Danio rerio: one gene and its partner. The protein of the gene in region 2 binds, or shares a complex with, the protein of the main gene of each other region. Links are inferred from orthologs where the notes say so. Each region holds a gene or a part of one and is shown on either strand. Other genes may lie near its edges. The genes, in order: cnn1b and itpr1a.

Region 1 (4,469 bases), on a different chromosome or scaffold from region 2:
AACGGCTGCTGCACTGTGTGTGACTCTGGTGTCTGGAAGCACACTGTGTTCATGTTTTCGCTCAGCAGCTCAGTCATGCACGTACAGATCCTGTGTGTCTGAATGGGGAACATCAGATTCTCCGAGCTCAAAGGGACCCTATCATGCAAGATCAACAACTGGAAGAGGTTTGAACAGTGATGTGTGCAGGAATTATGTGTACACTGTCATATTAGAGTGCTGCAAACCATTCAATTCATCTTTATTCGATTCGCTCAATGTAGATTGTTTCAAAGCAGCTCAACATAGATGTGTTTGTTAACTCAAAAATGAACAATTACTCACTATTTACTCTCTCTAAAGTGGTTCCTAACCTTCAAGTGTTTCTTTTTTCTGTTGAATACAAAATTAGATATTTTGAAGAATGTTAGAAACCGGTAACCATTGACATTTATAGCAGAAAAAAACAAGTACTATGAAAGTCAATGGTTATAGATTTATAAATAAATTCTCAAAATGAATTATTTTGGGTTTAACAACACCAACAACAATAACAACAACAAAATAGAAACTCAAACAGACTTGGAAAAGTTAATAGTGACAAAATGATGACAGAATTTTCAGTTTTGTGTGAACTGGCCCTTTAAAACATATTTACATAGCAGAGTTAAGAGTGCTTTGTGAGAGCTAAAAAAAAATAATTGTAATAATGCAATGCTACATAAAAGCCAGACTACATTTTGCCCACACTTACACCTCTTAGCAACAAATAAACAGTTGTATTTGCTATTTAATTGCATTTATGCCAACTCTTGTGTAACGCACCTTCAAGCTTCACTTCAGAAGCCAATGTTACAGTATAAATTTTGATCATGTAAGGAGGCTTATACAGATGTAACTTTTACATCAGAACAATGTGCTAATGTGTTTTAGGTCAAAATCAAAGAATAAAATAAGTGAATCAAACCAAATGAATATCAATCAATATAGAGTCACAAAATAAATTATTCATTTATTCATTTTCTTTTCGGCTTAGTCCCTTTATTAATCAGGGGTTGCCACAGCGGAATTAATCGCCAACTTACCCAGCATATGTTCTACACAGCAGATACCCTTCTAGCTGCAACCCAACACTGGGAAACAACCATACACTCTTGCATTCACACATACACTACGGCCCATTTAGCTTATTCAATTCATCTATAGCGCATGTCTTTGGATTGTGGGGGAAACCGGAGCACCCGGAAACCCACGCCAACACGGGGAGAACATGCAAACTCCTAACAGAAATGCCAATTGACCTAGCCAGTGCTTCGAACCAGCAACCTTCTTGCTGTGAGGCGATCATGCTACCCACTGCGCGACTGTGATGCCCCCAAAATGAATTATTATGGGCTAAAATCAGAAACAAATAGTTGTAACGTTTTTTTTTTTTACTATTACACTTATTACAGGGTAAATAACAAATTTTTACCTGTAAGACATTTCATAATGTTCCAATATTTAATATAATCCTAGATAATATTTCAAGCTGCCTTCAGACAAATAGAGCCTATGCATTGAATTTTACACTTTATTACTGTAGTATTGTGAAAAAAACTATGATTTAACCACTTTACAATGATTTGTTAAAAATATTTTACAAGTCTAATTAAAGTATTTGCAGTTTGTCACAGCCTGAACTATAGCCTAACTTTCGTTACCTCTTAACTAAACATTTACAACTAACAACGAATGTTTAAGTAACACTTTACACAGCGTTAACCTATAAAAGAGTGAAAATGATTGTGTGTTATAATGTCAATCATCGACTTACCAGAAAGTAGCCTACATTACTCGAGCTCGGAGCACTCGAAAGATTTACGCTTGCTGTTTGTTCGAATTACTCATTTAAAATGAGCTGAAACAACCCAACTCATGAGTTTATTTTTGGTACAACTCAATTGTTTCATGTTCAATCAACCTAAATTTGTAAAGTTCCTTCACGTTGTCTTAACACAAATCAACTTTGTGGACCCCAGCACTTTTTACACTGAGTGCTGCTATGGATATGTCTGTTCATGAGCGTCAACTTAACATACTTTGTACTATTTCTGACAGCCAAAATGCTGTTATAAAGAAAACAAAATTGTGCGATACAACTACTGTAATAAAATACGGATTTTTAAGATCTCCCTCATTCCTAAATGTGGATTCTGTCAACATGTACTCTTAATCCACTTGTTCTAAACCCGTTTGAGGTTTTTTTCTTTCTGTTAAAAACAGAGATTGTTAAACTGAGAATGTTGGAAAAACAACCATCGACTTGCTTAGTATTGTTTGCTCCCACAATGGATGCCAATGACGGCTTTTTTCAACATTCCCCAGAATATTTGTTTTGTGTTCAACAGAAGAAATTCATAAAGGAGAAGAAGCACTTTAGTGTGAGCGAATTTAAGGACATTTTTATATTTGGGTGAACTACCCCTTTAAACTTTTGTTTTGACTTTGGTGAAGTTCATTTGTCGAGTAAGATCCCTACAACCATCTCATCATACATAAACAACCTGTTATGATATATCTGAAATGATGCAAGCACTCATAATAAACCTATTCCATTTACATAAGTAATGTTTTCTTGAATAAATGATACAGTAATCTGTCTGATTTTATTAGCCGCACGTGCTACCTGCGCATATTTGACAGCTGTCAATCAAAGTGATGCCTACCTTACTCTTGACCTCCGCGGACAGTCCGAAAGCAGGTCCGCTCTTGAACTGCGTTGACATCGTGATTCAGACGAGAGGGCGGCGATATAATGTTAGATCTGGAATCTCCGGTCCGACTGTCCGATCATGTGGGGAAGGTTTGGGCCACATCTTCTTTTCCACAATCTTTTTTAAACTCTTCCCATCTGTGCGTGCGCGGAGCGAGCGCCGATTGGCCGGGGCTGACGTCCAATCGCGACGTCACGCAGCTCTGCACAAATGATGTCACCGGCATGGCATTAAACGCGTCCCATGTCACTTTTTCCACTTTGAAGTGAGTTAGGGATGCCTCTGATTCGTCCAATTTGGTGTTTCTCGGTTGATTTTTGCTTCGTATTTAAAGTGCTGACGCAACACAGCACCAAATATGTCTATTAACTAAAATACCCAAAACAAACAAACCTTAGAGTAAAACGAATTATGAATGGCACATGATCATGATTTAACACATTTATTTCCAGCGAAACGCAATTTCCGTACTTATATCAAAGTGTATCATGTTGATAATATTCAATGATGAAATTTAAGGGCCTCTTTATAAAGAAGGTCAAATAAGAGACACAATTGAAGAGTTTAGATACAAAAACCTCTAAATGCCATCTGGAATTTTCCTCTAAAATGAGCATTTTTATCAGGTTCCTGTGTGTGTGTTCAATAATATTACTTTTATAGCAAAGAATAAGTTCTTATCCTGTTCTTTAAAGTGAAATATCTCTACATAAACATATGAGGTTAAGACAAATGTTCTTTTCAATGGAAATTTCACATGGCATTTAGAGGTTTTTGCATCTGAACACTTAAATTGAAGTCAGAATTATTAGCCCCCGTGAATTATTAGCCCCGTTTATTTTTTTCCCCCAATTTCAGTTTAAGAGAGAGTAGATTTTTCAACACATTTCTAAACATAATACTTTTAATAACTCATCTTTAATAACTGATTTATGTTATCTTTGCCATGATGACAGTAAATAATATTTGACTAGATATTATTCCAGACACTTCTGTACAGCTTAAAGTGACATTTAAATGCTTAATTAGGTTCATTAGGTCAACTAGGCAGGTTAGGGTAATTAGTCAAGTTATTATTAAGAGGGATTATAATGATGGTTTGTTCTGTAGCCTATTATAAATATAGCTTAAAGGGGCTAATAATTTTGACCTCAAAATGTTTTTAAAAAATTAAAAACTGCTTTCATTCTAGTCGAAATAAAAACAAATAAGACTTTCTCCAGAAGAAAATAATATTATCAGACATACTGTGAAAATTCCTTTGCTCTGCTATACATCATGGGGGGGGGGATGAACTATTCAAAGAGGGGCTAATCATTCTGATAAGCAAATGATGCTATAAACAGCAGAGAGTTGTATGAAAGCAATTGATGCATGACCAAAAGCAAACAATTTGTTTGAAGAAATGAGAAACTGCTACTATGATGTGCACAAACGACTAATTGTTTTACCTGTTGTGCAAATATAAATAGTGTTGTGAGAACTGCAGCAAAGCCACTGAGAAAAACTGTAATAGGAATTAATCTGCCTCATCATTACGGTGGTACTTGGAAAGACAACTTTTTTTCTGAGGTGGTACTTGATGAAAAACAATTGAGAACTACTAAAGTAAACTATTCATTATCAAGAAACCATGTACATAATTTTTAAAAGTTAAGTCAACTTAACAGTTCTGAGTTACAGCGGGATTATACTGTAACTTTCTTAAAACACAGATTGGTAGATAGATAGATA
Region 2 (4,262 bases):
TTTGTACTTTAAACAAGTTGGGAACCTTGCTGTCTATGGAGGATGAGGGAGCTCTCAGGCCTAATTTACACTGATGCGTTTTAGAATGAAAACGATCCACGTCCCCACTGGAGTTTCACCTAGCATTTCTGAAAAGATCTCTGTTCACACAACATCACTTAAAACGCACCTCACATGACTAAACACACACTCTGGCATGCGCTGTAGTGTATGTGAACGCCTGAGCTACAGGCAGTCAACGGGTGCTTTGAGCACACCTACCCAGGTGAGAGCAGCAGATGTCAGACAGTTCATCAAGGATCTACCACTGGACATCATCTTGGTTGTTAAAAGTGATATTGAATTTATCTTGATAGTAAAACAACATAAACAATGTGATGAGAATGAGGGTATAAAGTACACTGTTCCCTTTGAAGATTTACCCGACCTGTCCTCAGAAGTTTATTTTCCATATCAAACTTGCAAAGTCTGAACTTAAGGAAAGTATTTAAGACTGAACTTTGTGTACTTAATATTGAGAAAAGCCCCAATCAGATGTCTGCAGCCACGCTTCTTTTTCAGATGTCTCTGCATTCCCCCATCAACACACTGACACAGAGCAGCAGTGTTTTGAAACCAGCATTTCCAAAACGCTTCATTTTTTGGGCTCGAAAACTAATGTGGTAATGTGGACAGAAGGCGTACCCGTAGCAAAACATGCATTTTAAAACTAAAACGTATTAATGTAAACTGGGGCCTCAGACTTCATCTAAAATATCTTAATTTGTGTTCTAAAGTTAAACAAAAGTCTCAATAGCCCCTTTCACACATACAGACCTTTCCGGAAAATTGCCGGCAATTTTCCGGAAAGGTTGTATGTGTGAACAGGTCCTTTTTGAAAATACCGGTAAATTCGTTCTGGCTATTTTCCGGAAAGAGAAGTTGTAACATTACCGACAATTTGCCGGAATGCTGCGCTGTGTGAACGCAGAAGGAAGATTCCCGTAATAAGCGCGTGCACGTCTAGAACGTGCTGACGTGAGACGTCTGCTTTAGCCAATCATAACAGTCAGACGCATTTACGTCCGCGTGGTTTGTGAGAATAAAAACCTTTGAATATTTTTCCAGACACATTTAGCTGCTAGAAGTTAGTCAGATCACGTTTATATGTTCTTCTTTATGCCAACTGTGTAAATAATCATCGATGAGATGCTTATGATAAGCCGTTGTTTGTTTACCTTTTAGCTTGGCGTGTGCCTTTGAAACAGCCTGTGAGCGCCTGCACACGCACATATTATGAACATCTCGACATGAGAAAGTGATCCTGCGAAAGTTGTTCACAATATTGATCATCCACAGAGTTTGTAATTTAGTCAAATGTTTACAAATACAAGCGCAGCCGTTTAAAGGTTGTATGTGACAATTTACCGGTATTTTGGAATGGATATGTGTGAATGCTCATTTCCGGAAAATTTCCGTAACGTCCTCGCCTGTGTGAACAGCGCTTTTTTGAATATACCGGTAAAGTCGTTCCGGAAATTTTCCAGATATTTACCGGTATCACTGTGTGAAAGGGGCTAATGGTTTTGGAATGACATGAAAGTGAGTAATTAACAACATAATTTTCTTTTTTGGGTGAACTCATTCATTCATTTTCCTTCAGCTATTCATCAGGAGTCGCCACGGCGGAATCAACTACTAACTTATTCAGCATATGTTTTACACAACGGATGCCCTTTCAGCTGCAATCCAGTACTGGGAAACACCCATACACTCTCTCACATAGCTACACTACGGCCAATTTAGCTGATTCATTTCACCTATAGCGCATGTCTTTGGACTGTGCGGGAAACCGAAACACCGGTAGCAAACCTACGTGAACACAGTGAGAACATGCAAGCTCCACACAGAAATGCCAACTGACGCAGACAGGACTCGAACCAGCGACCTTCTTGCTCTGAGCTGGCAGTACTAACCCCTCAGCCTTTTGGGTGAACTAACCCTTTAAATTCTACACTATATCTATCACTGTTAAAAATGTGGATCACTCAACATTTAAGATATTTTGACATGGCAATCTACTGCAAAAAAAAAAATAAACATGACAAGTAAAAACTCTGAACGTTTTTTAGGATGACTGTAACAGTTCCATGTAACTCGTTTGACGCTTGTATCCTCACCACAGATTCTTCCTGTAACTTGATTTGATTAACAAATGATTAGCCAACCAAACCGTTAATACGCAGAGACACACACAGAGAGAGAGAGAGAGAGAGAGAGAGCGGAGGAGGGATTTGCATGCGAGTAGTCTTCAGTTCATCTGCATACAAAAGAAAAACCTTGCACATATTACATTAAAACTATACATTTGTTACTTGTTGTTTTGCATGTAGCTTCTTATAATGCTGTTGTAGTTGTAACTGTCCCTTATTGAGCAACAGCTGAATCTTCCTTCAGCAAATAAACTAATTATATCCTCGTGTCAACAATGTCAAAGCGTAAAAAGACAGTAATGAGAGTAAGCTGCGATACATTAACTATACAGGAAACAGTCATTTTAGAAACTCAGGGCACCAGACCCTTCCTTGACTTCTTTAATACTACGTTTTGAAGCATTTCCATAAAACAAGAAGAAACCCATCACCCGTGAACAGTTGACACACTTGTGTCGTCCTCGCCGACTTTGTATCTTTTTCTTCATCTTTCTGTAGGCGACTTTCTCACGGCAGCTTTTCTAACCTAGGGGCGGGTTCAGATCAGCGGGGCGCGCGCGATGCTCTCCCGCAGATAACATAAATATTTAATAAAGCATGTTTCCTCAACACAACTTCTAGTAGTCCGGTTATAGTTGTGTAGCTAAGATCTCACCTCTCTCCGACGAAGCTGGGGCAATAGTGTCGGTATTTTCCCAAACGTTGCGTCCACTGTTTGAGAAAGTTATTATCCCGACTCTTCATCAAGTCCAGCAGCGGTCCATCGCCCCGATGATGTTCGTCTCTTTTCGGCTTGCCGAGTGACTCTGTCTGCATCGGAGTTCAAGGGGTTTCTGGGAAATAGTGTTTCAGCGGTGCCGCGCCTCACGGCTACTTTAATAATCTGCGATATTAAAGAACTACAAGACCCAGAAATTCCCCATTGAAAGAAATAAATTATTTTATTTATTTATTTATTTTGTGTGTGTGTGAACAGTTTGTAGAGACAAGAGAAACTGCTTTCACTTAGAGCAAATAAATAAGCAAAAAATATGCGGATGAGACTGGGGAGTCATATAGCTAGTAACTTCTCTTACTTACATTTAAAATGTGTTGTACTCATTTATATGTTTAGATTTCTGACAAGTGTACTGTCAAATTGATTCAAGAGTGAGTTCTTAATATAAAGTGGTACACAAAATTGTTTCTTAAATAGGCTACAGAACAGAAAAAATCATTCATTTTCCTTCACCTTTATTAATTAGGAGTCACCACAGCAGAATGAACCGCCAATTTATCCAGCATATGTTTTACACAGCAATGCCTTTCCAGCTGCAATCCAGTACTGGGAAACATCCATACACACTCATTCACACACAGAACTGTTGCACACAATTTATTTGTGTTGAATTTAAACAAACTAATTACATTTAATAATGTTCAGCTTAATTTGTTTGTTTAAATTCAGCCCAAATAAATTGTTTACAACCACTTAATGTAAAAAAAGTGTAAATCCAAGGAATCATCTTTGAATATTTTTTTTTCAGTGTACAGCCAATTTAGTTTGCCGCATGTCTTTGGACTTGTGAGGGAAACCGGAGCATCTGGAGAAACCCAAGCGAACATGGGGAGAATATGCAAACTCCACACAGAAATGCCAACTGATCCAGCTTGGACTCGAACCAGTGACCTTCATGCTGTGAGGCAACAGTGCTAACCACAGAGCCACCATGTTGCCTGAACAGAAAATGTAGCCTATAAATAACCAGAGTGATCTTCAGTATCACTAAAGCCATTTTATCATCTTAGACTGAGTGCATTTTTGGATTCAGTGATCATCCTACAACTGTCTGTTGAAGTTTACTTGTAGACAAATTGATTCAGAATAATTTTATTTTATTTTATTTAGATACTTGAAAAGAAACGTAAAGACATATTGTGAATTCTGATCAAAGTTAAGTCATTATGTGTTAACAGAGAAGGACTCAAAGATTTTGATGTATACAGACTATGTCAAAACAGCTAAATTATAGGACACTTTTGGTATTAAATATTCCTAATAATAAATCTTTTCTACCTAATACTTAAATT

What was found.
Region 1: itpr1a (region 2) and cnn1b share a complex: the UniProt entries of both Homo sapiens proteins name them as parts of the cGMP kinase signaling complex. The link is inferred for Danio rerio from reciprocal best matches to the Homo sapiens genes ITPR1 and CNN1.

What each region holds. Positions count from the first base shown.
Region 1 is NC_133178.1:13,111,341-13,115,809, reverse strand, and holds the start of cnn1b (calponin-1), read right to left. Parts: upstream 2,834-4,469; 5' UTR 2,748-2,833; coding exon 2,688-2,747; intron 1-2,687. UniProt on the Homo sapiens protein: Thin filament-associated protein that is implicated in the regulation and modulation of smooth muscle contraction. It is capable of binding to actin, calmodulin and tropomyosin. The interaction of calponin with actin inhibits the actomyosin Mg-ATPase activity.
Region 2 is NC_133181.1:42,473,259-42,477,520, reverse strand, and holds the start of itpr1a (inositol 1,4,5-trisphosphate-gated calcium channel ITPR1), read right to left. Parts: upstream 2,973-4,262; 5' UTR 2,848-2,972; intron 1-2,847. UniProt on the Homo sapiens protein: Inositol 1,4,5-trisphosphate-gated calcium channel that, upon inositol 1,4,5-trisphosphate binding, mediates calcium release from the endoplasmic reticulum (ER).